Linked DNA regions of Coturnix japonica. The protein of the gene in region 1 binds, or shares a complex with, the protein of each later gene. Links are inferred from orthologs where the notes say so. Each region holds a gene or a part of one and is shown in the gene's direction. Other genes may lie near its edges.

What was found.
Region 2: the proteins of UBE2O (region 1) and NAP1L1 are in contact, whole or in part, in a cryo-EM structure (PDB 7UN6), measured with the Homo sapiens proteins. The link is inferred for Coturnix japonica from reciprocal best matches to the Homo sapiens genes UBE2O and NAP1L1. Residues at the interface, in NP_071349.3 of Homo sapiens: Ser225, Asn226, Val282, Lys283, Pro284, Val285, Lys289, Ser290, Lys291, Phe292, Arg293; in NP_001317160.1 of Homo sapiens: Arg333, Arg337, Thr343, Gly344, Glu345, Ala346, Ile347, Asp349.

Annotation. Positions count from the first base shown.
Region 1 is NC_029533.1:3,798,713-3,811,512, forward strand, and holds the start of UBE2O ((E3-independent) E2 ubiquitin-conjugating enzyme), read left to right. Parts: upstream 1-6,243; 5' UTR 6,244-6,306; coding exon 6,307-6,696; intron 6,697-12,800. Other genes in the region: AANAT (serotonin N-acetyltransferase), read right to left, coding at 1,329-1,634, 1,720-1,874, 1,954-2,110. UniProt on the Homo sapiens protein: E2/E3 hybrid ubiquitin-protein ligase that displays both E2 and E3 ligase activities and mediates monoubiquitination of target proteins. Negatively regulates TRAF6-mediated NF-kappa-B activation independently of its E2 activity.
Region 2 is NC_029516.1:34,426,124-34,438,179, reverse strand, and holds part of NAP1L1 (nucleosome assembly protein 1-like 1), read left to right. Parts: intron 1-864; coding exon 865-967; intron 968-3,394; coding exon 3,395-3,536; intron 3,537-3,971; coding exon 3,972-4,052; intron 4,053-4,291; coding exon 4,292-4,420; intron 4,421-4,924; coding exon 4,925-4,996; intron 4,997-5,643; coding exon 5,644-5,783; intron 5,784-6,977; coding exon 6,978-7,123; intron 7,124-7,209; coding exon 7,210-7,229; intron 7,230-7,860; coding exon 7,861-7,983; intron 7,984-8,991; coding exon 8,992-9,024; intron 9,025-9,388; coding exon 9,389-9,439; intron 9,440-11,344; coding exon 11,345-11,380; 3' UTR 11,381-12,056. UniProt on the Homo sapiens protein: Histone chaperone that plays a role in the nuclear import of H2A-H2B and nucleosome assembly.

The DNA of each region.
Region 1 (12,800 bases):
AAGAAAGCACTCGAGTGGTTTTGTTCAGCTCCTCCTGGATCCCCAGGATGAGGCAGATTTTGGCTCCTCAGGACCCCCCTCCTGCTGCCCCCACTGTCACCTCTTGTCCTTCAGGGTGTAACCAGGTGGCTCATCCAGTGCTGTGGGTGACAGCGCTGCTAACAGGAGCAGCACGAGTCCCCCCATCAAAACAAGCATCTAGTCTAGGGCTCTCAGCCCCATGTATCCCCCCCTTCTTTGCCGCAGGCCGGCTGCAGCCCCATTCCTTGCTCCTCCAGCGCTGCTCCAGCCAAAGATTGGCCCCTCACCTCAGTTGTCTCCTTTTGATACTTTTTTTTTTAATTATTATTATTATTTTTTAAGAAAGCCGTGGAATTTTTTTCACCCTGAATAAATTTCTACCTGTATTTAAAGAGCTCCACGAGGCCTCGATTCCCCTCCATGCTTTTGATGGGGAGGGGATTTGGCAGCAGTCAGTAGAGCTGTCCCTGCTCTGCTCCCTAATTCCCCTCTTCAAAACCCCTCCTGGGGCAGGGATTTGAGGATGGTTCTCTATCTAAATGATCCACAGAGCTTCCATCCCCTGCCCCAGGGCAGCATGGCCCCAATTGTGTGCTTCACCTTCCATCAGATACCCTGGGGCACATCTGACCCATTTCACTTCAATCTGAGCCACCCCAAAAGGCAGTGGATGGCTCTGGGCTGTTTGGCTGGACCCATCTGTGCATGGAGCTGGAGGCAAAGACAGGCAGGCGTGTAGAAAACAACCACTGCATCTTTATTTGCTGCTTCACAATAGACCCAAGGCTTTTGCAGGGGGCTCTTGCTGGGCAGGTGATGTCTGCATGCATGACTGGCCCTGCAGGGAGGATCCTGGCTGTGCAATTTGGGGTGGGGGGCACCCCAGGGGTTTCGTGCTGTAAAGGTGCCTGCAGGCAGGGGGTGGCTGCAGGGGCTGCTCAGAGCAGGGCTTGGCTTCGTGCATGGTGTAGGGCTGTGCTGGGGAGGGGGACCCTGTGCTGGGGGCTCAAGGTTTTCAAGGCTCTGCTGAGGCTCTTGGCTTTTCCATCCTTAACACAGGTCTCTTGGGGGCACAGCCCTCCTGCGGGCTCCCCTTCACTGCCCCAGCTCTAGAGCTGAGGGTGCAGGCTCAGTGCTTGCAGGCTGAGTGTTTCCCCAGCCTTGGGAGAGTGAGGCACAGGGATGGGCTGGGGGCCAGGCTCATCCCTTGGCCGAAAGGCAGATGTGTGGGCAGGCAGGGAAAGCTGTGCAGCCACGGTGGGGATGGAGACGGCTCACGGGCTGCCGCGTTAGCTGGGCTGCGGGGCTCAGCAGCCGCTGTTCCTGCGCATGAAGGCATGGCCCCGCACCTCGTGCCGCATCTCAATGAAAGCCAACGCGCCCACCGTCACCTGGCAGGGACCCACAGCCTTGAAACCGCATTTCTCATAGAAGGGCACGAGGAAATGTTCGCACATGAGCACGGCGCGCCGGGCGCAGGGCAGGCAGCGCAGGTACTGCAGGTACCGCCACATCAGGATGGAGCCCTTGCCCTGCTGTCGGAAGGTGCGATGCACGGCCAGCACATGGATGTGCACTGCTGTGCCCCGAGGCTTGTGCAGGGTCAGCGCTGCCTGTAAGGGAGGGAACGGGGCCATTAGTGGGGCCGTGCAGGGCAGCACGAGTCTCCACTCCACTTACCCTGTGCCCGGCTCCTACCTGGCTGAGCCTGTCCTGGTCCCATAGGGAGCCGATGATAAAAGCCACCAGGCGACCTTCCTCGAACCAGCCGAGAGAGAGCTCCGGGCACAGCGTCAGGAAGTGCCGGATCTCATCCAGGTGCAGCGGGCAGTCGCCGGAGACAGAGATGAAGGCTGGAAAGGGAACGGCGCTGAGCTCCCGGCTCTGACACCGGGCTGGGGTGGGATGGGGACGGGGCGGCTCTTTCCTTACCTTCCCTCTCGATCTCAAACACGCTGACGGCATCCTCGGGGCTGAGGCAGCGGAACTCGCTGGCGGGCAGTGTGTGCCGGCGTTGGCGGCCGGGGGAACTGCGGGGTCCCTGCGGGGGGGTGGGCTTCAGGAACGGCACCGCGCTGAGCATCGGCATCTTGTTCTGCTCCGTATGGGGCAGCTCTGTCAGCTCCGGGCCCCAGCAGTGTCACTGCACCCTTAATTTCGGCTTAATTTCAGCCAATCTCTTCCTGAGCTCTTAGCTGTCGAAAATACCTGTTGATTATGCATGGGATTAGGCTACCTGGCATCCTTTAGCTATATATACACGTGTGTGTATAGATACAGCAAATCCCCACCCACGGCAACCCTGCTGTCACCCCTGGGAGTTGGCACGAGCTGTGCACTGCTGCTGACCTCCAGTCCCATTGGGAAAGAGTTGGGGCTGAGCATCTTGTCCCTATCCAGGTCATAAAGGTGACATCAGTGCTGTGTATGCACCGGAGATGACCAGCCTGGAGCTGCGTCAGGGGATCAGGTTGGGGATTAAGGAAAGGTTCTGTATCAGTGGGTGCTGGTCATGGAGCAGATCCTCAGGGCAGCAGGCACGGCATTGAGCCACCAGAGCTCAGGGAGTGTTGGGACACTGCTCTCAGCTGTAGGGTTTGGGTGGTGCTGTGTGGGGTCTGGGCTTCCACTTAATGATCCATCCCTTCCATCTCAGGGTGTCCTGTGATTCTGTGTCATGCTTGTGCTGCTGGGGGTTTGTTTGCTTTCCCAGCTTGTTCAGGGGGTAAATGACACGGCTTAGCCCCTGGTGGGCACTTAAGTCATAGCCATGCTGGAAAGCCTGGCTGAGATGAGCCAGCAGGCAGGATGAGCTCATCTGCAGCTGCTCCAGTGCCTGTGGTCACAACCACCCCAAAGGCTGGGAGGTCCAGGGGTGTGCTGTCAGGGTGCCTTTGCTGAATAGATGTTAGATTGGACCCTGCAAATGCTTGTGTAGAAGCTTGCTCAGGAGAGCAGTTTTCCAGTGTTCCCTTGCAGGGAAAAGCAGAGCCCCAGCCTTGACCAAAGAGCCTTTATGGGTCCCACAGCCATACCCCAGGACAGTCCCTGCTGCTCTGTCCCATCCATCACCACCCGCCCTACACAGCTCAGCCAGATCCCTCTGCTTGGGTCAGATTCTGTGTCATAAATCCACCTCATGTTTCATGCCCGATCAAACCAAGTTAATAAACCCAGAGAGAAGTGCAACCCGAGCACCCCTGGCCTGCGGGCAGGAATAGTGGCAGCAGCTCCCAGCCAAGCGGGAGCCACGGGTCAGCCAATATTCAAAGCAATTCACAGCAAAGCCAGCATGGAGCCAGGTCAGTTCTGATTATTGTTCAAGAGGTGCCGGCTTTCCTTGCTAATTATAGGCTTGCCTCCAGCTAATAGGATTTATAGAAACAAAAGCATTACCAGCACAAGCGTTGCACAGGGCAGAGCCAAAGCAAGCTGGGAATTTTCCATCTGGAAAGGCTGAGAGCTGGGTGATGGAAGTGGTGAGATGGGGTGTTGCTGTGATTCCCTTTCAGTGAATCACTGGGTTAGCTGTGATGTGCTCTCTGGGCACAAAGGCTATCAGGGACAGGGGAAATATTTAGCATCCCTCGTGCCAGTTCTCATTGCCAAGGGGTAAGTGCAAGACTGGTGCTGGGAATGAGTGCTTTGTGCTCCCATAGATAGGATGGGAGTGAAACAAGACAGCACTGCAGGAATGGGGTGCTGTGATGTTTGTAGGATTCACAGCTCGGTGTCAGATCTGCTCATCCCCTGATTGCATCAGGGCTATGCAGCAGGCTGGGCTGGCTCAGACACCCCTTGTGCTTATAGAAACTTCTCAGCACCCCAACACAACAGTGTGAGAAGTGAGCAGGGTACAGCCTGCTCCCAGATCCTTCTCATTGAATCTTTTCCCCTCCAGCACTTGTGGCAGCTCAGGTCACACGGGCTGCTGGAGTTGTGTTTCTTTTTTGCTCAGCTCCTCAGCTCCCTGCACACACAAAGGTCTTTGGCATGCAGGGAACATGCACACTGAGATGGCTGCAGGTCAATGGGAGCACAGTGAGGATAACCAGAGTTAGGAGGAAACCCCTCTCCTCCCAGCTCTATCAACCCATCTCCCCAGCTCTAACACAGCCCCCTGCACGTTCTTATAGTTGTTTATACCCTGGGGTCTATTAAGCCTGTGGCTCCTTTCCACATCCCCATATGTCATGGTGCACAAATTAGCACACCAACTACACCCTGTCAAATTGTCCCCTCCTTTTGTGTTTGTGCATTATAGAACCCAAAGCACCTGCATGCAGAGATGCTCTCACCTCCAGAATCCAAGGCAAGTCAAGCTCAGTGTCCCAGCTCCCTCCCATCTAAGGGCTATTCCCCATAGCCCAGAACAACACAGTGACCCACAGCTCACCAGCCATCCCCAAAGCCACGGGGATCACCAGGTCCCAGAAACTCTGGGCTTACCGGCTGTGGGATGGGGATGGGGACGTGGTGCTGCTCCTCTTCACCCTGATCCTGTGACTCCTCGTGGCCGTGGGACAGCAGGGATGGGGCTGCAGGAACACACAGAGCCCGGCTTATATATTTGTTATTTATGGAGCACGTGATGAAGATCTAAGGGGTTTATAACCGTGATGAAAGACAGGAGAGGTGAGAGGCTTTAAGATGACGAGCAGGCAAAGGATCCCGTCAAGCAGCTGAGGCTGATTTCTTTACCCTGGCATGACTCCCTGCGGGGGGATAAAGCTGATTGAGCTGATTGCTGCGTGCTTGGGGTGAGCTGACAGGGAGAGCAGGGCTCAATCTCTGTTTGCTCCTACAGCTGAGGAGGGCCAATATCGCCGTGCAGCAGCACTCAGCATCTGCAGAGCAGCGCTCCTGGACGGGCTTTGCAGGGGGGACACGGTCTGTGCTGTCCCAGTTCGGGGTATCTGCAGCCTTATCTTTTGAAGACAATGCTGCCACTCCTGTTTTACACCTTGCTCTGACTCCGCTATAGGGATCCGTGCATTCCCCCTCCCTGCCGCCCATACACACACACTGTGCAGCACCGGGCAGCGCCCGCGCGATGGCAGCAGCGCTACACGCTCCGGAACCGGGACCAAAAGAAACCGGGTCACAGAAGCACAGAGTGACCCGGGTTGGAAGGGACCTTAAGGATCATGTAGTTCCAACCCCCTGCCTGGCAGGGCCACCAAACATACACCTTTACTAGATCAGGTTGCCCAGGGCCCCGTCCAACCTGGCCTTGAACACCTCCAAGGACGGGGCATCCACAACCTCCCTGGGCAGCCTGTTCCAGGGCCTCACCACTCTCCTAGTGAAGAACTTCCCCCTAACATCCAACCTAAATCTTCCCTCTTTTAACTTCAAACCATTTCCCCGTGTCCTGCTATTGTCAGCCCTTTCCAAGAGTTTAAGGGAAGAGTAAGTTCCCTTCAGGTATTGAAAGGCTGCAATGAGGTCACCCCGCAACCTTCTCTTCTCCAGGCTGAACAAACCCAACTCCCTCAGCCTGTCCTCATAGGGGAGGTGCTCCAGCCCCTGATCATCTTCCTGTCCCTCCTCTGGACCCTTTCCAAAATCTCCATGTCTTTCTTGTACTGAGGGCTCCACACCTGGACACGGTACAACAGATGGGGCCTCGCAAGAGCCGAGTAGAGAGGGACAATCACCTCCCTATCCCTGCTGACCACCCCTCTCCTGATGGAGCCCAGGATCCCATTTGCTTTCCATGCTGTCAGAGCGCACTGCTGGCTCATGTTGAGTCTCTGGTCCATCAGGACCCCCAGGTCCTTCTCTGCCGAGCTGCTCTCAAGGCCCAGCCTGTACAGGTAAATGGCTCTGAAGGGTTCGGTGGGTCCGGAGCAGAGCGTGGGATGGTTCTGAATGTGGATAGTGCTAGATACACTGCAGTTGGTGCTTGTTGAGCATATCTGTGTGTCATTAGCTACGTGCAATGGGGGGATGATGGGCAGCACGGCTGCCATAACAGCGCTTGGAAACCAGTCCGTGGAGATGTGAGGACACATCGCTTCACTTCTCCTCTCCTATGAGCCTCGGGCAGAGAGAGAGCCCATCTCACAAAGGGAAAAGCCGGGATATCCCGGAGCACAGAACACACCCCCACCCGACAGCCCTCCTCCCTCCTCTCTGCCCCTCCCACTGGATGGGCGTGGCCCTCCCCGCCAGCGTCGCCACGCACTGGGCGTGTCCCTTTAAGCCCCGCCCCCTGACGCACTACGTGCCCCTCCCCTCCCCCTCCGGTGCCGGCCGCGCTCTCCCGCTCGTCCCGGCGCCATGGCGGAGCTCCCCGCTGAGGCGGCTCCGGTTCCCTCCGCCCCGACCCCGCTCCCCGCTTTGCCTTTACCCCCTTCGGCTCCTCAGGGCGGTTCTCAGCGCCTTCTGTTCTCACACGACTTGGTGTCGGGTCGTTATCGCGGCTCGGTGAGGTTCGGCCTGGTTCGCCTCATTCACGGCGAAGATTCCGATTCAGAGGATGAAGAAACGACGACGGCACCGGGGGGAAGTGGAAGGGGAACAGGGGGAGCTGCCAGCTCGGGGGGGTCGGAATCGGGCGGCCCCGGGGCTGGAGGCACCGAGGAGGGCAGAGCCAGCCCGCTGCGACGGGGATACGTGAGGGTGCAGTGGTACCCGGAGGGAATCAAACAGCACGTCAAGGAGACCAAGGTGAGGCCGTGGGGGTCGAGCCCGGCTTGGGTTGGGGGGCTGCGGGATGTAGGGTGGGCCCTGAGTGCATGGAGATGCTGGGCTGGGCCTTGTATCCCTGTGTGGAGCCATTGGGGCTGTGTGAGAGGCCTGGGATGCGTGTGGAGGGATGCTTGTCTCACCATGCAGCATCCCTGCATATATATAGGGAGCTGGCAGTGCAGCAGTGGCTCTGCCCTTGTTTACGCCAGTGCTGGCTGGAGCTGTGTGTACACCTATGTCTTCCAGCTGTGTGAATGAGCCCCTCCGGCTCCATTCTGCAGGGCTGGGTGTTAGGAAGGGTTTCTATTCAGAACGAGCCATGAGGCAATGGAATGGGCTGCAGGGGAGTCACCATCCCTGGAGGTGCTTAAGGAATGAGTAGATGTCATGCTTAGGGACGCAGTGTGCAGGTAGGCGGCTGGAATGGATGATTTGAGTGATCTTGCTTCACCTTACTGAGTCTATTCTATGTCTCTGGGGCATCCCTGCTACCCAGCACTGAGCTGTGCACAGCCCGACGGCGCAGAGACAAAAGAGAAGGGCACTGTGATGGAGCACAAAGGGGCTGCCAGCCACGGGCGTTGTGCTGAGCGAGGCAGGAGGGAGGCACACACAGGAGGCACACACAGGGGCTGCTGGGCCCTCTCTGCTTTGACTTCTCCCAGCAGCTCAACATGCCAAGCAAGGAGGTGTGCGGTGGTCTATGGGGATGGGTAGGATGGTGAGCAGGATGAGCTATATTTAGGTGATAGTGTCATTAAACACGTGACCGGTTGGAGATAAGCAAAATGAAAACGGGCATCAGGGAGAGATATTGCTGTGTTGTGTGTTTCTACCTAAATAAAAAAAACCTTTTCTTTCCCTAAAGAAATCATGATTCGATCGCTGCGGCTTCTAGATACAAATTGTGTGTGCTGTAGCAGCACAGATTGGCCCAATGTGGGCTGTGTTTTCTGACATCCAAGGCCACCCCAGGATGGGGGAGCTAACATGGATTGAATCCCTAAGTGCTCGTTCTTTGGTGGCTGGATAGCTGTGCCCCTGTGCAGCATTAGGGAGGCCTGGGATGGGGTGGGGGGGATCAGAAGGCAGTTACATAAATAAAGGCTCTTCCTTTTTGTGGTCTTTGTGATATAGGCATCTCTGCACTCAGGTAATAGACCCCAGGGAGAAGTTTCTTAAGTGCTTTGAAGAATTCAGGTGTACTTACTGTATTGATTTTTCCATTTGAAAAGCTGCCCAACAACCAAATTGCCAGGCGTTGTGTACAAGCTGCTCTGCAGTGTGGGATTACTAAAAACAAACCTGACGCTGCTGGGAACACACAGGGCTTTGCCATTTTCGTGGTGGTAAGTGAAGTCCTTTGGCTGTCTGCTGACCCGGCCCCTTTGTGTTATGGCACCAGGTGAGCCTGATGTCTCTACCTGGGCTGAGGGGAGCAAACCATGGGCACCATGTGGTTGTCTTGGGTCTGAGGTTTGCTGGCTTGTGGCTGCTGTTCTCAGCTGTGTCTGCAGGTACATCTGGCTGCAGCTCTGACTTTCAAGTACCTTTGTCTGTGAGTTTATTTGATGTCTTCAGGAATGATAACCTGGCCTGGTGCAGCCAGACCATGGGTTGCAGAGGGCACTTGTTGCCATCCTAAAAGCTGCTCTGTGTACCCAAAACTGGGTTATGATCTGAGAGCTTTTCTGTGTTTTCTTTCAGCTACTGGGGGCAGGAATGATTTCTTTCTACTAGGGAATATGTGAGCTGATAGTGGTTACTGTTGCCTCTAGAAGCTGAATGCTTTTGTTCTCTCCTGTTGGAAGTGGAAGGCAGGCTGCTGCTTAAGCCCCACCACGCCATTCCTGATGTTAATAAGTAATAGAAGCTTTCTCTTGAGTTTGAGCTGATGTTTGGCCCACTGGCTCTTCCACCTGAACAAGGAGATTTTCCAAGTCTTTGGTTCTGATGGTCATTAGCAGCATCGTGACATTCACGTGAGTAAAAAGGAGCCAGGATTTCTCCTCTCTATCCTCCTTTCCTGCCTTCCTCGGCTGCTTTCCCAATTCAGAGCATAGGGAAATCATTGTTGCCAAGTAATGTAAAACCCAGACAGCCCTGGAAGGAAACACTTCCCTTTCCAGAGAGGTGTGCCAGCCATGTCCTGTCTGACCCCGGTCCTGTCACACAGAGAACCTGCAGAGCAGTTCTGGCTGCTAGAGCTTGTCTTCATGGTGCTGGATGGATGTGTTGCTTAGAAGTTACACTGCTAAGTGCTGGGGGCACCTGATGCTTTCTCTAATAAATGAGCAGAGGTTTGGACCCAGCTGAATTTTAACATCGGGGTTCCTCAGGTGTGGGTTATATTCCTTCCACACACTGAGCTGCCTTTGGGTTCTTTGCAGAAGTGCTTGACCAAGTTAGGTAGTAGTGAGTCTTGTAGGGAGCTTTAAAACAGGGCTACCTTCCTCCCTCTTCCTCTCACCTGGAAGCTTCACTGCTCTTCTCTGCCTTTCAATTTCCCAAAGCCTGTGCAAGGCAGATACGCCTCTTGTGCAGATGGGGGAAGCAGAAAGTGCAGGTGTTGTGTCTCAGCACCTTATCAGAAGGCCTTCAGCAGGGCAGGCTGCTGAATTCCTGCCCTGTGCTCTGCCTCGGGATGGAACTGCTTGCGGCAGCACCCAGGTGTGATGCTGTGTCCCAGCAGCACCTTCTGGTTTACATGGCAGCCTGTAGAGACCCCATGGGGTCTCTGGGGAGTATTTAGCTTCGGAACCACTTGGTTTGGATGGCTCTCAGTCTGTTCAGCATCATTTTTCTGCCCAGTTCAAACTGTCTGGGGCTCCCCAGGCACAAATCCCATGGCTGATCAGCTCACTAGCTGGAATTGTTCTGATGCTATCTCCTCTAGTCTGAATTCAACTCTGCTTCATCCCACACAGCCCTTCTGTTCCTTCTCAGCCTCCACTGCTGTGATTTCTTGACCTCAAACATTGAGATATGAATATCAGGTTGCAGGAGAACTTTCTGAAGCTGTTATTCCCACGTAAATTCAATATTTGCATGAATACTTGTCTGAATCCTGTCATGCAATCACTACTTTGACCTAAACTTAGGAGTCGTTTTCTTTCTATCCCATGGGAGAAGATGTTCCCATTCACTGAAGGTCTGTGCTTTCACCTCTCTGTCCCTTTGCAGCCACCACCAGCCCAGTGTGAGCACTCCAGACAGCAGACCTCACTGATGACCACCTTGCAACTGCAGAGAGCATAGAGAGCCTTAAAAACCTCTAAACCTGGGCAAGGTGTCCACGCATGGTGATGCACAACACTCAAGGTCCAGCAGGTGACCAAGGGCAGTTCTGCTGTGTGTGGGTGCAGCTCCTTCTGCAGAGCCAGCAGTAAATGCTGCTCAGTGCAGCACTCAGATTCCACACGCATAAACCAATAGCACTGGTTTGTATCCCTTGCGAAGCTGTATCCAACCCTCTTCTTGCATCTGATGTTTCAGTCAGTCTCCCAGGGGTGCTCTGAAACCACCTGACATCCGTAGCCATTAGAGATGGGAGGGAAGAAAGGGCTTACTGGAACTGCATCAAACAGGAGCCACGTCAGACAGTCCTGCCTGTGAGTGCTCACTACAAGGTCACGTACCCACAAGTTGTTTTTTTTTGCTTTATTTGATGCTTGCCAGATCGACTTGGGGATCATCATTAATATTTTACTGCAGAATGGACTCCTGCACAACATAAGTATGCGTTGTTACTGTATGGAGAGTTATTTTGTGTGCGTGCTGAGCTGATAATTTGGGAGCACAAGCGGCCACCTGGGCTCAGCAATTAATTAGTGCTCCTGCACCCCAGCCAGGAGTGTTACTGTTAAAATGGACAAAGCCTCCCCTTGAGCAGCCAGTTCTGTGGCTCACAGGTGTGCTGGGTTAGTTGGGAAAGGGAAAGAGACAGCTCAATTAGTGATGCTCTTAGGACTAGCACACAACCTGAGGTGCACTAAAACCTTCAGGAGGAATTGGTTGGATCCTGTGCCAGGCCTTGAGATACCTACATGAGAGTGAGTGAGGTGTTTTGCTGTGACTTTGTCATGAAGTTTTCTTTCATCTTTGCTGTGCAGCTCCAGCAGAGGCTTCTGCAGGGACCTGGCTGTAAGTGACTCTGTGAAGTTGCTTTTGTTTTGGCTAAAGTCCTGTGTTGAAGTTAAGTGGCACAAGCTTGCAGGGTGGTTTTTGGGACAAGGTCTTGCTTATGCCAGCTGTCCTCAGCTCCCTCCTCAGAGCAAAGACACTATTTTTACTGCTCAGCATCTGCGTTGGTGCTGGAAGATAACTGGCATTTGTGAAGCTCAGAACTTCATCTCTTGTGACTGTTTTAATTGCTTGTGGGATTTCAGGGGCTCAGAAGGCGTTAACACCTTCCTGAATGCTCCCTGGGAGGAACCTGCCTCGTTGTTTGTGCACTCCTTACCTCCCACCATCAGCATCAAACCAGTGCTCTGAGCTGAAGCTTCTCCACTTGCTTGGTAGGAGGATGCTAAGTGTGTCCTGGAACAAAAAAAAGCCTGCAGGGAGGCTTTGTGGTGGCACTGGGGCTTTTTTCCATGCACTTTCCATTTTCCCTTAACGGTGAGGTCATTGGGCTTGACGGAATGAAAGCAGCTCTTGATAGAAGGTGTCTCAGTGCTTACCTCCTGTATGGGAAAGGTAAAGGGAGCCCAGTGGGAGGGCTGAGGGCTGAGCAGGCAGAGGAGGGCCCAGGTGGAAACTGGAAACCAGGCAGGAATCTTCCATGTATGCTGGTGTAGGTGGAAGCTAGGATATGCTCCTTGTTGATGCATCTGGACTCTGGTATCAAATTGCCTTGGATATATGCTTGTACAGGGAAAAGATAGGTGGTGCTACGTTGGTTCTCTGCCCTTTGTGGTGTAGGCTTTGACTCCACTTTATGGAGAGAAAAGAGGTGAACAGCTGCAGCCCTGCTCCCCCTGACTGCATGGCATGTGTGCTGGGATCAGTGGGTAAGGTCTTAAAAATGAGCCATCTGTATCTTTATACACTGTGATTTCTTTTCTTTTTGGGAGTTGCAAAGCTCTTTTCCTATTCCTCAGCAGCTGATGCTGGAGCTCCTGGTGAGCGGATGGGCAGCACTGTTGCTGCTATGGGAGGTGAGGGCAGAGATGTGCAGGTCAGGAAAGGTGGGTGCTGTGTTTTGAAGCTTCCAGACAAGGAGCAATTGAATTCACAGCTCCGTTTGCATTTACAGCAGCATCCTTTCAAAGCCTATTGCTGGGCTGAGGAAGAGCTGGGCAGCTCTGCCCTCACTGTTAGGCAGCCTTCATTTTGTAGCATAAAATTGCAGTGGTGTGCCATGTGGTGCTGCACTCAGCACAGCTCCAACACAGTGATGCGTTCAGCTGCTGGAGGGAGAGTGCTGCTGAACCGGAGGGGATGGGAGCTGAAGGCTTCTAACAGCAGTTTGGAGCCCAAAGATGGGACTTGCATGCACATCACTCCTGTCTCCTGTCTGTGGCTGAGCATTCTGCTTAATGTGAAGTACACTGATGATAGAGCTGGAATTAGTTCCATCACAGCCGATTTAGGTTTCTTTACTTATTTTGGAAAGGATACAACAGCAGGAATAAAAGAATTTTGCATACGAATCACTTTTGTTTCAAGAAACAGCCCTGCTCCTCTGCTGATAAGGATACTTAGGAAGTAGCGTTTTTAATCTTCCAAGTGTTTCCTGGTGTTGATGTGGCAGTGCCTTGGCAAGGTGACAAACCTTCCCCACAGGTGACTCCAGGTAACACCTACATCATCAGTGCTGCTGGGCCCTGACCTTGCTTTGCTGGTGCTGTGGTCGTGCCTTCTCCATTTGGCCTTTTCTGAGCAGAGCTGTATGGGTGGTGGGAAAACCTTTGACGTTCCTCGGTGTAATTACAGACTGTGTCTATTGAGACAAATAATTCTCACTCCAAACTGTAATGCATGGCTTATTCCGAATGTGGAAAATGGAACGCTTGGAAACTGGTTGGCATTTTATATACCTTTCTATTGAGGGACTCAGGCTTGATTTGTTTCCTCAGATG
Region 2 (12,056 bases), on another chromosome or scaffold:
CCACATCCAAACGGCTCTTAAACACAACCAGGGATGGCAATTCAACCACCTCCCTGGGGAGCCTATTCCAGTACCTAACTACCCTTTTTTTGTTTGTGTATCTGAAAATGTTGAGGATGAAGGTAGAAGCAAAACATGATTATAAATGATTATGAATTCTAATTAAAGATGAATTTAAGTTGCTTTCTGCAGGCTACTGAGGTGTGGACTTTGAGCTGAAATGCAAAGGTTGATGTTAATTTGGGCAATGGAAATACTTAGGCTAGCAATTTGTGTTTTCCAAAATGTATTTCTACCACATGATTTGAAACAAATTTACTGTTTTGGGCAAATTACATTTGGAATATGTAGATAATAGAGATCAAGAATTTAGCACTGATGTTCTGTAATCAAGAATATGTCAGGCTGAGCTGACTGGATTGCTTTGCTGTTCGTTTTGGTGGTGGTGGGTGGGGGGGAAGTAGCTCTAATGAGCAATTATTATTTTTCAAGACAAAAGTATATAAGCATAGACTTGTAAACCAGTTCAGTACCCAGGTCTGAAGCAGTCTTGTTTATCTAAAATGGAATGAAAATTGCAACTTTTGTTTGTATTGTTTGTAGTAAGGGGGCATGGTTTAGTGGGAGGGTATTGGTGGTAGGTGGATGGTTGGACTGGATGATCTTGGAGATCTTTTCCAACCTCTGTGATTCTGTGTGATCAGCACATCTGAAATGGAGACACTTTAAAAAAAAAATTCTGCCTGTGTTTCTTCTTAGAATAACAGGAAATTCACTTCATATTTTTTCTTAGTATTTAGATCTCTTTCAAGCCTTGTCTAGAAGATATGCTCTGCACTTACAGAATTTTCATTTTAATTTTAGCTCGACAGTTGACTGTGCAGATGATGCAAAATCCTCAGATTCTTGCAGCTCTTCAGGAAAGACTTGATGGTCTGGTAGGAACATCTACAGGATATATAGAGAGGTAAAATGTTTGTTCTAATTCAGTATGAGGAGAGTGATATAAATGTGCTTTTGCTTCCTGAACAATATTGTCTTTAAGATTAATCATAAACCACTGCTCTGCCTAGGTAGCAGGAAAGTAATATAATCAGGAATTGACGCATTTCAAAACTGAAGGCTTTCTGTTTGAGCCTTTTTGAAGTAAAAAATGCAGAAATATTTAGTGGCAGATAATGTCACGTGCAATTGCAAAATGTCATTCTGTCCTGCTTTTATCAGTATGTTCCTTATCATGACATCATGCGGCAAGCTGCTGGGCGCAGATTCAGCACTGCATTGCGGAGCTGTATTTCCTGGTTCACTATAGCAGTCTCATGTGAGTTTTTACACTCCAAGGGGAAGATACTGAGATGTACTGCATTTTCCCAAGGGCCTCCACATGATTTCCAACTCTTGGTGATGAGGAAGAACTCTCTTGTCTTTTCTAGGAGGACAGCCGTGAGGTTCTGCTGATAAGGACTCTGATTCTCTCTCTCCTCTAGTTTTATTTTTTTGTTTGATTTACTGCTCTTAGTTATTCTGTATTATCTCATGCTCCTTTTAATAAATTTGTTTCTCTTATCTCAATCAGATTTTTTTTCCCCTCTTCCTCCCTCTGCATTTTGCCCAAGGGGAGGGAGAGGTGTCACGTGGTTAACTCTTCAAACCATAACACATAGGCACAGATATTTTCCCAGAATGTTTTCTCAGCTTTGCTTTAATTTGAAACATGGGCAAGTACGTGGTCACTTGTGGTCATACTGTAACCACAAATTGGGAATGTTGTATCAATACTTAATGTAGTCTCCTTATACAATTTGAAACAATCTGTTGCTTACTAAAGTTTTCTTTACTGCATCTGCTATAACAGATTTATCTATCTCCTTTGTGTAATTTCTAATTGTGTGAACTTCTGACCATATGCACAAGTTGTAAAGCACAGAACTATCTGACTGTGATAGGATCCTGTGTTGCTATTGATGTTATCTGAGATGGCTACTGAATGACTGGATTTGCTGCTGCTACTCCTACCACTTTCCTGTATTACAGGCAGTAGCATAGAAGAAAATACAGGCAACTAATAGCCTACCCTAATAACTACAGGCCCAGGAAGAGCATGGAGTCAAAGGAGTACATAGGTTCTCTACACTGTTCTATATGCTGTACACTAAGGCTTTCTATATCTAATATGTTGATTTTTTGACAGTTATTAATTCATCTCTCCTAATCTTTCAAGTCCTAGCTGTAAGAAGTGAACAGAAGTCCTACTTCTGTTTACTTGGCATTTTCCCCTGTCAGCTGCTCTTGGAGATACTGCATCATTTCTTCATCTATTCTAAGTCTATAGTTCTTTTTCTTGCAAAGCATTGCAGCTTTACCATTAATATCAAGTGCTTGCCAAACTTACAATAGAAATAATAGCTGGAAAATGTGTAACTTTCCTCTGTGATTCCTTAACATATACATGCTGATTTAAGCATGCTTTACAGGGACCTCTTACATGTCTTATCAAATATCCTACTTAAGTGGGGGCTGGTGGCATTAGTAATTAATACGAACTTGCAGTATTTAGTTAATACCTTCTTGGTTGCTTCCACTAACCTGAAGCTGGTCCTAACAGTTTTTCACTTTTTTGCAGCTGTTTGCCATTGTGCTCTTAATGATGTGACCCAGTTCCTTAAATAAAGAAGGTTAACATGGTAATCTGCTGTAGCTATATGCTGGGGACTGGCTCACATCATCAGTGATAGAGGCTGTCACCAGTCTACCCTATGAATTTCACTAACAGTGCAGGTTAATTTCTGCCCCAGCTCTAACTTTGTTAGTGTGGTCTTCTACAAGTCAGATACAACTTTAATCAAAGTTTCACAACAGCTTATAATGAAGGCTGCACTAATTGTTTGCCTGTAATATGTATATAATATGGTTTTGGCTTATTCTGGGAGACTGTTAAGGGACAGCAGTGATAGCTTCATTCCTGAATAAACAAAAATAATGGTTGTGAAGCTTGACTTCCTTAGTGAAGTAATAACTCAATTGTCTTGAATGTTCATAAAAACAAACAAGTAGTTAGCTCATCCTTGATTGTGCTCCATGTTAGCAATTTGCCATGCTGCTTGGTGGTAAGGTAAAACTTGCTGTCAGTGTGAAGCTTTACACAAGTTTGCGTATTCAGAGACTTGACTTTTTTTTTTATTCTAAGTCAGGTTATACCTGTTTTAAGAGTCTGTGTTAAGTTTATTCCACATGGTACAGTGGGTCGTAACTTTGACTTTTTTTGCAGTTTTCTAGTGTTTAAAGCAGTGTGAAATCCATTTTGATATGTGTTGGTGAAAGGAGCTGGTTAATGAGAGGTCAACATGTGCATAGAATGCAATGTTCGTAACAGTTCTGTCACTGTATTTTTCAGCTTGCCTAAAGTTGTTAAAAGACGTGTGAATGCTCTCAAGAATCTTCAAGTTCAGTGTGCACAGATAGAAGCAAAGTTCTATGAGGAAGTTCATGAGCTGGAAAGAAAATACGCTGCTCTCTATCAGCCCTTATTTGACAAGGTATTTTAATGCTTTTCTTATTTGTATTTAAAAGCTTTAGTTAAACCAAAAGGGAATATAAACTGAAGCTTATTTATGTGTTCTGAATTACCTTGGTCTCTAATGTGCCCATTCAGCTGAATTTACACTATTTTGCTGTCCATGTGACTATCAGCTAAGATGAAGTGTTGTCTATTCCATGGCTAACAAAGTCACCTTAGTATATTAGGCCTCATCGTATTAACTGAGCAGATGTTAGGTTATGTGGTAACCGTTCTTGCATGTTGGTTCTTCAGTGTATTGAAACACTGGTAACTGCTGAATCTTTCTAGAGCAAGAAATTGTTTGGTTAAGTAGACAGTACTTTGTGATAGCAGAATCAGCAATTTATTGGTTAGAGTACGGCTAATTGCAATAACTAGAACATATGAAAGTATCCTTGGTTCAATTTTTCAGCGAAGCGAGATCATCAATGCAATCTATGAACCTACAGAGGAAGAATGTGAATGGAAAGCAGATACTGAAGAAGAGATTTCAGTGAGTATCATAATCAATTCTTATCAATATTCCCACCTTTAGCATGAAATTAGATTCAATAGAGTAAATACATTTTTCTCAGAAGGAGAATTTTCTTAATGATTGGCTGTGTATTATTAATTGCATCCTTAAATCACATGCATGAAACTTCATGTGCACTATAATCAGCTGAAGATGGTTAAACTTGATGGAGGATGGTTTTTAAAGCTTAGAGAAACTAACATTTTTATTCTATCAAGGAGGAAATGAAAGAGAAAGCCAAGATTGAAGAAGAAAAAAAAGATGAAGAAAAAGAAGACCCTAAAGGAATTCCTGAATTTTGGCTGACGGTATTTAAGAATGTGGACTTGCTCAGTGATATGGTTCAGGTAGGTAGTAGTCCAGATTGCTTTGATGTTGCTTTAGTATTTAATCCAAATGTGCTCTACCAGGAAAGAGAAGGAATGGTTATAGTACTCGATGTCTTTTAGAGAGTAAAAATTAAGCTGGCACTTGGATGTTATCTGGTCACTTATTCTACTCAGAGCACAGAGCACACTGAAATATCTTATTTTGTTCTTACTTGTTGAAGTTGTAACTTTACACAGAAAGTCCATTAGTAAGATATATATATAGAAATGTTTGCATGAAATATGTACTAGCACTGAAATTTGTATTTAGTTTGCATGAGATTTAAGCTGTGAACCACAGTGAAAATTGAGCTGCTGTTATTGCCATCTGCTGGTTGTATTCGTGGAAGAAAGTGTTTCAGTGCTTGGACAAGGTTCTTGATGAGATTCACTGGTTCTTCTAAATACACCTTTTTATCTCTGTGTCTTAAATCTGTGTACAATTTAACCTTATGAAAATTTCATTAACTTTTCTATTTACAGGAACACGATGAACCTATCCTGAAACACTTAAAAGATATAAAAGTGAAGTTTTCAGATGTTGGACAGCCTATGGTTAGTTTAACCTTTTAAACAAGTTTTTCTGTGTTATCTGAAGGCTTGTATTTGTATATTGATAACACCATCTGTAATAAGCAGTTGTCTTAAGGCAATCCTGAGAAACGCATGGCTAGTTTCTTGTCCCCTGAAGAGCAGTACAAAGACTAATCCTGAAGTACTGTATGAATGAATTACACTTAATTTAACTTTCAGATTCTATTGAGTTAATAACTTGACCATAGTATTTGATTACTTGGTTTTATCTTTATATTTTGACAGTTTGAGGCACTTTTTGTATAGCTACTATAAAAGAATATCATTTCATTTCTAGAGACCAAGTAACTTACAAAGATATATTTGTTTTATCTCTATAACGTAGCACCAGGAAATCTGTACATAATGTGAAGTCTTGTGCTCATTTCTTAATATACTGCTTGAATCAATGACACAAGGTCAGCATAGTAAAAGTAAACATCTGAATACTGACTGTTCAATTTAGGCAGCAAATTCTTGGATAAGTTGTGCATGCACCACTTCAGTGTTGGTAGAGATGGATATGTTCATTTGCATGTTTGTTTTTGATTTTGATCTTCAAGTATTTAGAAATTAAAGGTATGTTTTGCTAGACTGCTTATGTTGTCTCTTTGCAATTCTTTCTTAAGAGCTTTGCATTAGAATTTCACTTTGAACCAAATGACTACTTCACAAATGAAGTGTTGACAAAGACATATAGAATGAGATCAGAGCCAGATGATTCTGATCCCTTTTCCTTTGATGGACCGGAAATCATGGGCTGTACAGGGTAAGTGCTGCTGAATAGCCATAAGATAATATAACTGTTTCTTCCGTATTATCCAAGTGTAAGCTTTTAGTTACCTAGTGACTTGGAAATAGCTAGGCTCAAGTTTGAGGTTAAAACTTAACTGTTTTGAAAACTGTTATAACTTCATATTAGTTTGAAACATTGAGGACTCTCTTCCTCATGTATCCACCTAGTGTTACTTTCAGTTTGTTGTCATGTAATATATACATATAAGAACTATATACTGTGTGATCTAAACATTGATGCAATTTATAAGTACATAGATAGTATCTATATATGCATACAGTCAAATTTAATACACTTTGTAAGTTGTGTTCTGCAGCAACTGAAGCTGGGTAGTATTTAGTGGGCCTTGATAGCTTTTTAAAAACCTTATTTGATCACATTTTGGAAGCCTTTTATATTTCTGACATTCAGTTATTTGAGAAGGCAAGTCCGTTTTTATGTTCTGTATTGCTGTTGTCCAGTTTATAATAGTTGAATGTTTGCCTCTCTGAGCATCTTTCAGTTAATCTATTTGAGAAGTAGAGAACAGTTATATCTAATTCTAGTTTTCTCGTGATTTTGAAGTTGTCACATTTGGTGGTCTCTTCTGTTCTAAATTAGCTATAATTCCTTAGCTGGTTTTACCCATGCACTACTGTGCACTTACTGATACTGACTGATGCTTGCTCTTTCATTTCCCAGTCACATAATGTAATACATTGCTACAAAAGTCCTGTAGGAATTAGTCTGCTTGAGTACAATAGATCAAACTGTATTGTCTCCCATAATTTGGACTGTTACTGAAAAGCATGTCTCCTGGCAGAGATCCCTGTGAGATGACTCTGCCTTTATGAACATGGTTTATGCAAAGCAATGACTGGGAGTGTTAAGACAGCAGCTTTTTACCCTTAAACATCTCACCTCTTTCCTTTGAATCTATAAAGGATCTAGTCAAGAAACTTCTTCAGCCTTATTTTTGTGACTTCGTTTACATTTACCCCAGAATACTTTGTGAGTGTCAGTCAAGTCTGTGGTTAAGATTCTTTTTTTTTTTTTTTTTCCTCTGCAAACAGCAAATAACCTTGATATTTCATGTTCAGTATATTTCTTAAAACTGGGATAGCCTCTCTAAATACTGGTAGCGATAGCAGATATTCTAAGCTACAACTTCTTTTCGTTCTTCCCCAGCTGCCAAATAGACTGGAAAAAAGGAAAGAATGTTACTTTGAAAACAATTAAAAAGAAGCAGAAGCACAAGGGTCGTGGAACAGTTAGAACAGTGACAAAAACTGTTTCCAATGATTCCTTCTTCAACTTCTTTACTCCCCCTGAAGGTAAACAAAATCTTTGTGTATTTGCATTAACATTAAATGTTGTATATAATTCATTCACTTGTTTTCTTCTTTTTTTTCCTTCACAGTTCCTGAAAGTGGAGAACTGGTAAGTTGTCTTATTGGAAGTTAAGAGTTTGGGGGTGAGGGAATTGCCAGTGAAAGGCAGTTGTGTACAATGTGCTTTCTGGGATTTGTTTGGGAATTTAAATTGTTTCAGTTTTAACTTGGGAGTATTTGTGATGAATAGTTTTTCTTTGGTAGAAGGATGGCAAAGTTCATTTCACTTTAATAGTGTTTTGTGACTTAGAGCATTTTTCAGGTGTGCAAGAGCTTTACATTGGGTTGATTAATAAGAATTGTGAAGATGCTTACTTAGAAAGCTTCACCTGGTTAGTATTTAGTTCTCAATGCTGTGCATGCAAAGTGAAAATCTAGGGATAATACTATGTTTAAGAAGAAAAATAGTTTTAAGTGACTATGTAGAGGAAGAAGGAAATTTAAACTCCAAAGCTTTGTATGGCTAAGTTTGCTGAAGCAGCAAACCCTGAACTCTATAATGTGCGGAAATGCTTGAAGTATAAAACTTGATCTCATAATCTCAATTCTATAATTGTCCTGAACCAAAAACTGATGGGGATTTGTGTAAATCTGGCAATGTCAATATTTGTGCAACTTGTGTTTTGGTGTCAAATGTAGTTACCAACTTATGGTTTAGAACATAAAATTGTTTTATGCAGGACGATGATGCTGAGGCAATCCTTGCTGCAGACTTTGAAATAGGTCATTTCTTACGTGAACGTATAGTCCCCCGATCAGTATTGTACTTCACAGGAGAAGCTATTGAAGATGATGATGATGATGTAAGTAATGTTCTTTTGGAGTGTTAAAAGCCTCTATAGAAAGTTGCTTAAAGTTTTTTGTTAACTTCTGACTCCTATAGTTACTGTTAGTATCCTTAGAGTTGGAGGTATCAGCATCAGTTTATGGTGGATTTCCTAGGATATTAATTACCTTCATGCTGCTCCTTATTTAACCTTCCAAGTACTGAATTCAGAGTTCTGTGGCAAAAGCACTGATTGGTGACCACTTAGAGTGATGTCTGAATAAAAGTGTGTGTACAAGTCATTCCCAGAGTGATGTGCACAATGCTTTGATAGAAAAATGAGCTGCCAGAAAACAAATTAGTCCACATATGTAGCTGGTCAGCCTGTTCATTATACTTGCATGGCTACTGAGTTCTTGAAGTTCAGGTTTGATCATTTCAGGAGAGCTCTCTTTAGAAAATGGGAGATAAATTCATTCTAAGCTTGCAAACTTCTTTTCAAAACATGTTCTTCAGAAGCTTGAATTCAATACATTAAAGATGCTAAAGCTGAAAAACAAACTGCAAAACCCAAGAACTATAAAGTACTTTTTTTCCTCTGTCTCCTCACAAGTTAGGATTGCTTGACAAATGTAGCAAATCTATTGAGTTGATTTAGCTAAGCTAAGTCCAGTTTAGAATGTGGAATAGTAACCTTTAGTCCAGAACTGTGGCAGTCGATGGGTAGAAGACAGAAGTGACTGTATGGACTGCTTTATACTTCAAGACACTTTGTTGGACAGATATATTACCATTTAAATAATCTCTTCCAGTGTTGCACATAAGGAATGCAAGGCAGGAAGTGCTCTCTGCCAGAGCATAGTTTGAGATTGAATGTTTTTCATGCTGATTCATAGAGCTATTTCTAATCTGTCAAATATAGGATGTTCTCTTAAAGCATAGTACCATGTGTATGGCTCCTGGCATCAACTTCAGTTATCTTGAATGAACTAATGCCTGTAATGACTATGTTTATGACAGTCAAAACTATTTATTTCTTTCCTAGTATGATGAAGAAGGTGAAGAGGCAGATGACGAGGTAAGTTGACAGATTGTCTTGATTTAAATAGCTTCCCTCCTGTAGTCTGCATGGAGTAAGTTCCTCTAGTTTATAAATGCTGTAAAAGCTAAGTTTAAGTTGTACATATGAATGTGAGATGCAACAGCTTGTTGTATTCTGTGATCTGGAGTGAATATTTAATTGCAAACAATATAACAGAAGTAATACTACAAATCAAATTGAAACTGATGTCAAAAGATGTGCTTTGTAGATGGCCCACAGTATGCATTAATTGAAGTGACAGTGAAAGTATTTTGGAGTGGAACTTTCAGTGTTCTTGAGGATGGTTTGGGAAGCTGATTGTGGATAAGTTAGTGAAATATAAACAACTGTTGTCTTTCAGGAGGGGGAAGAAGAAGCAGATGAAGAAAATGATCCTGATTATGACCCAAAAGTAAGAAATTAAAAGAATATTTCAATGTGCACATGCGTTCATATTCCTGATATTTAATGAAGGCGAAACATCAAGTTTTAGTTGAAGTATTTAGTAGCTCTTACAGTAAGTGTTTTTTGGCTGAAACTGTTTTAGTTCCAGATTGTTTTTTTTTTTTTATCAACTTGTCTTAAAGCAAGTTTCTGGTTTAGTTCAGTGGTATAAGCGTTCTATAGTAGTAATCAGAAGAGTACAAGTAATAAATACTCAGGTTTGGGGAACTTGCCACAGTTTGGTTCTTGTACTTTGTTGGAGTGTTATTTCTTGAGGCAGCAGATGTCAAGCCTCAGGAATGCATCTACAGCCAAGAACTTGAATGTGGGCAACTAAGAGCAACGTGCAGCTTTGTTTCATGTTTAATGGTCAGAGCAAATGAGTAGTTAAGCTCAGTTCGCTGGAGAAGTGATTGTGAGCAACTAAGTCCTTAGCTTTCTATTAGCTGAGGGAAATACATCCTTAAGTAAGATTAAGCCATAGTCAGAAAGTGAAGCTGTCGAAGTTGAAAGTGTGCTGCAAAGTATCTTTCCCATTTTTAATCTGGAGGCAGTATATTTTTCAGTAGCAACATTTTGATCTAAAAGAAGTAGTACCATAATTCTAGTGTTGTCCTGGAAAAGATGTGGGCTATGGAACTGCTAATAACAACGTATGACTTCTTGGGGGTGTTTCCTCTGCAGTATGGTATTCCAGTTGTTCAAGAAAGTTCTGGAATCAAAATGAAACAGCTGCAAATTGGGTTTATGATTTCCACCACTTCAGTTGTTTTTGCAAGTTAAATGACTGAGGGCAAGATCATATGCTCAGTTTCAGAGAGGCAGACAATAGCGGTACTACAGTGCTTTGAAAAGAATTGATAATCATAAGTTAATTACAGACTAGAAACTAGATAAACTTATGAAAGCACTGCAGTCTGAGAATAGTGGAACAAAACTTGCAGTTTTCACCCTCAAAGGCCTTTTCCATAAATTCCCATGTTACTGTGAGGTATTGTTGATTGCCTGCTTCAATACAGAGCAGTTGGTAATATCTACTTGGAAATTTTCTAGCAACTAGAATTTATTTCAAAACAAATCTTTCCAGAGTGTTAAGAACATACCTTGACTTGTTTCATTGCACTGCTGTACACTGGTTCTGAAGTAAGGCTGAGCCCTTGTCAATCAAAATGAAGGCTGTGTGGTTTTCACAGAATCACAGAATTACCCGGGTTGGAAGGGACCTCAAGGATCATGTAGTTCCAACCCCCCTGCCTAGCAGGGCCACCAAACATACACCTTTACTAGATCAGGTTGCTCAGGGCCCCGTCCAACCTGGCCTTGAACACCTCCAAGGACGGGGCATCCACAACCTCCCTGGGCAGCCTGTTCCAGGACCTAACCACTCTTCTAGTAAAGAACTTTCCCCTAACATCCAACCTAAATCTTCCCTCTTTTAACTTAAAACCATTTCCCCTAGTCCTGCTATTATCAGCCCTTTCGAAGAGTTTACTCCCCTCCTGGGAGGAGGGGATTATTAAGGAGGTTTTATTTTGTATCAAACTGTTTAGAAGGTGTGGTTGCCTCTGTGCCAGTGATTGATACTGATTATTATTGCCCTTCTCCTTTGTCTAGTTTTGGTGTCATTCAGAGTGTACCATTTTACTTGATTCTGAACAGACTTCTCTCTCAATGCATATATGCTAAGAAAGAAAAAAGCATTGTGAATGTTACCACATGTAAAGGTATTAGTAATACTGGGCAGTTAGCTCAGTTGAGGAGAAGAAAGAAAAACCTGACTGTTGGAAGTTGACAAAATATATTAATAATCTGAGTACTTCCTGAAGTATTGATATCTGTAAGCTGATATTTCTTTATTTTTTTCCCTCAACAGAAGGATCAAAACCCAGCAGAATGCAAGCAGCAGTGAAGCAGTGTGTATGTGGCCTTGAGGATTACCTGCACTGTAATAGCCTAAACACAACTATTAGTTACTTACAGCCTTATGTTTTGTATCTTGGTAGAATTAAGTAACCAATTTGTTAAAAAATGGAATCAAACACATAAGAACCAGTTTAAAATGTAGGTTCAATCTACCTAACATTTTAACAGTCTAATTTTCTGCCAATATGTAGAATGCAGTAAATCCCCTAAAGCATGAATGTTAATTCATTGCTACATAGTTTGGTTCTTGTGAAGTCTTTGTCATGTAGCTATTAGACTGCAGCTGTGAAGATTATCAGAACTGTTAACTGAGACCAATATTTGTTTAGAGAAAGCTCTCTCCTGAAGAACCAACCAAAGTATTTTTCAGCCCAGTAGTCTGAACGGGTTTAAGTCTGCTTGCACTAGCTGTGCCTTCATTACTTTGTTATAGGAATGGCAGTGACTTGTACTAACTAGGAGATGATGATGCATTTTGAATTTGACTACTTGAGGAGACTAGTATAACTTGTTTAATTTCCAATGAGACCACATTAAACATTCATAACTGTCAGCTTGTTTATGCTATGGGTTTTGTATTTTATGTGACATAGTGATCTACAAAAGAAACCTAGCCATCATATTAAGGTTATTGTTTACCACGGGGTGTGAATAAAACCTAG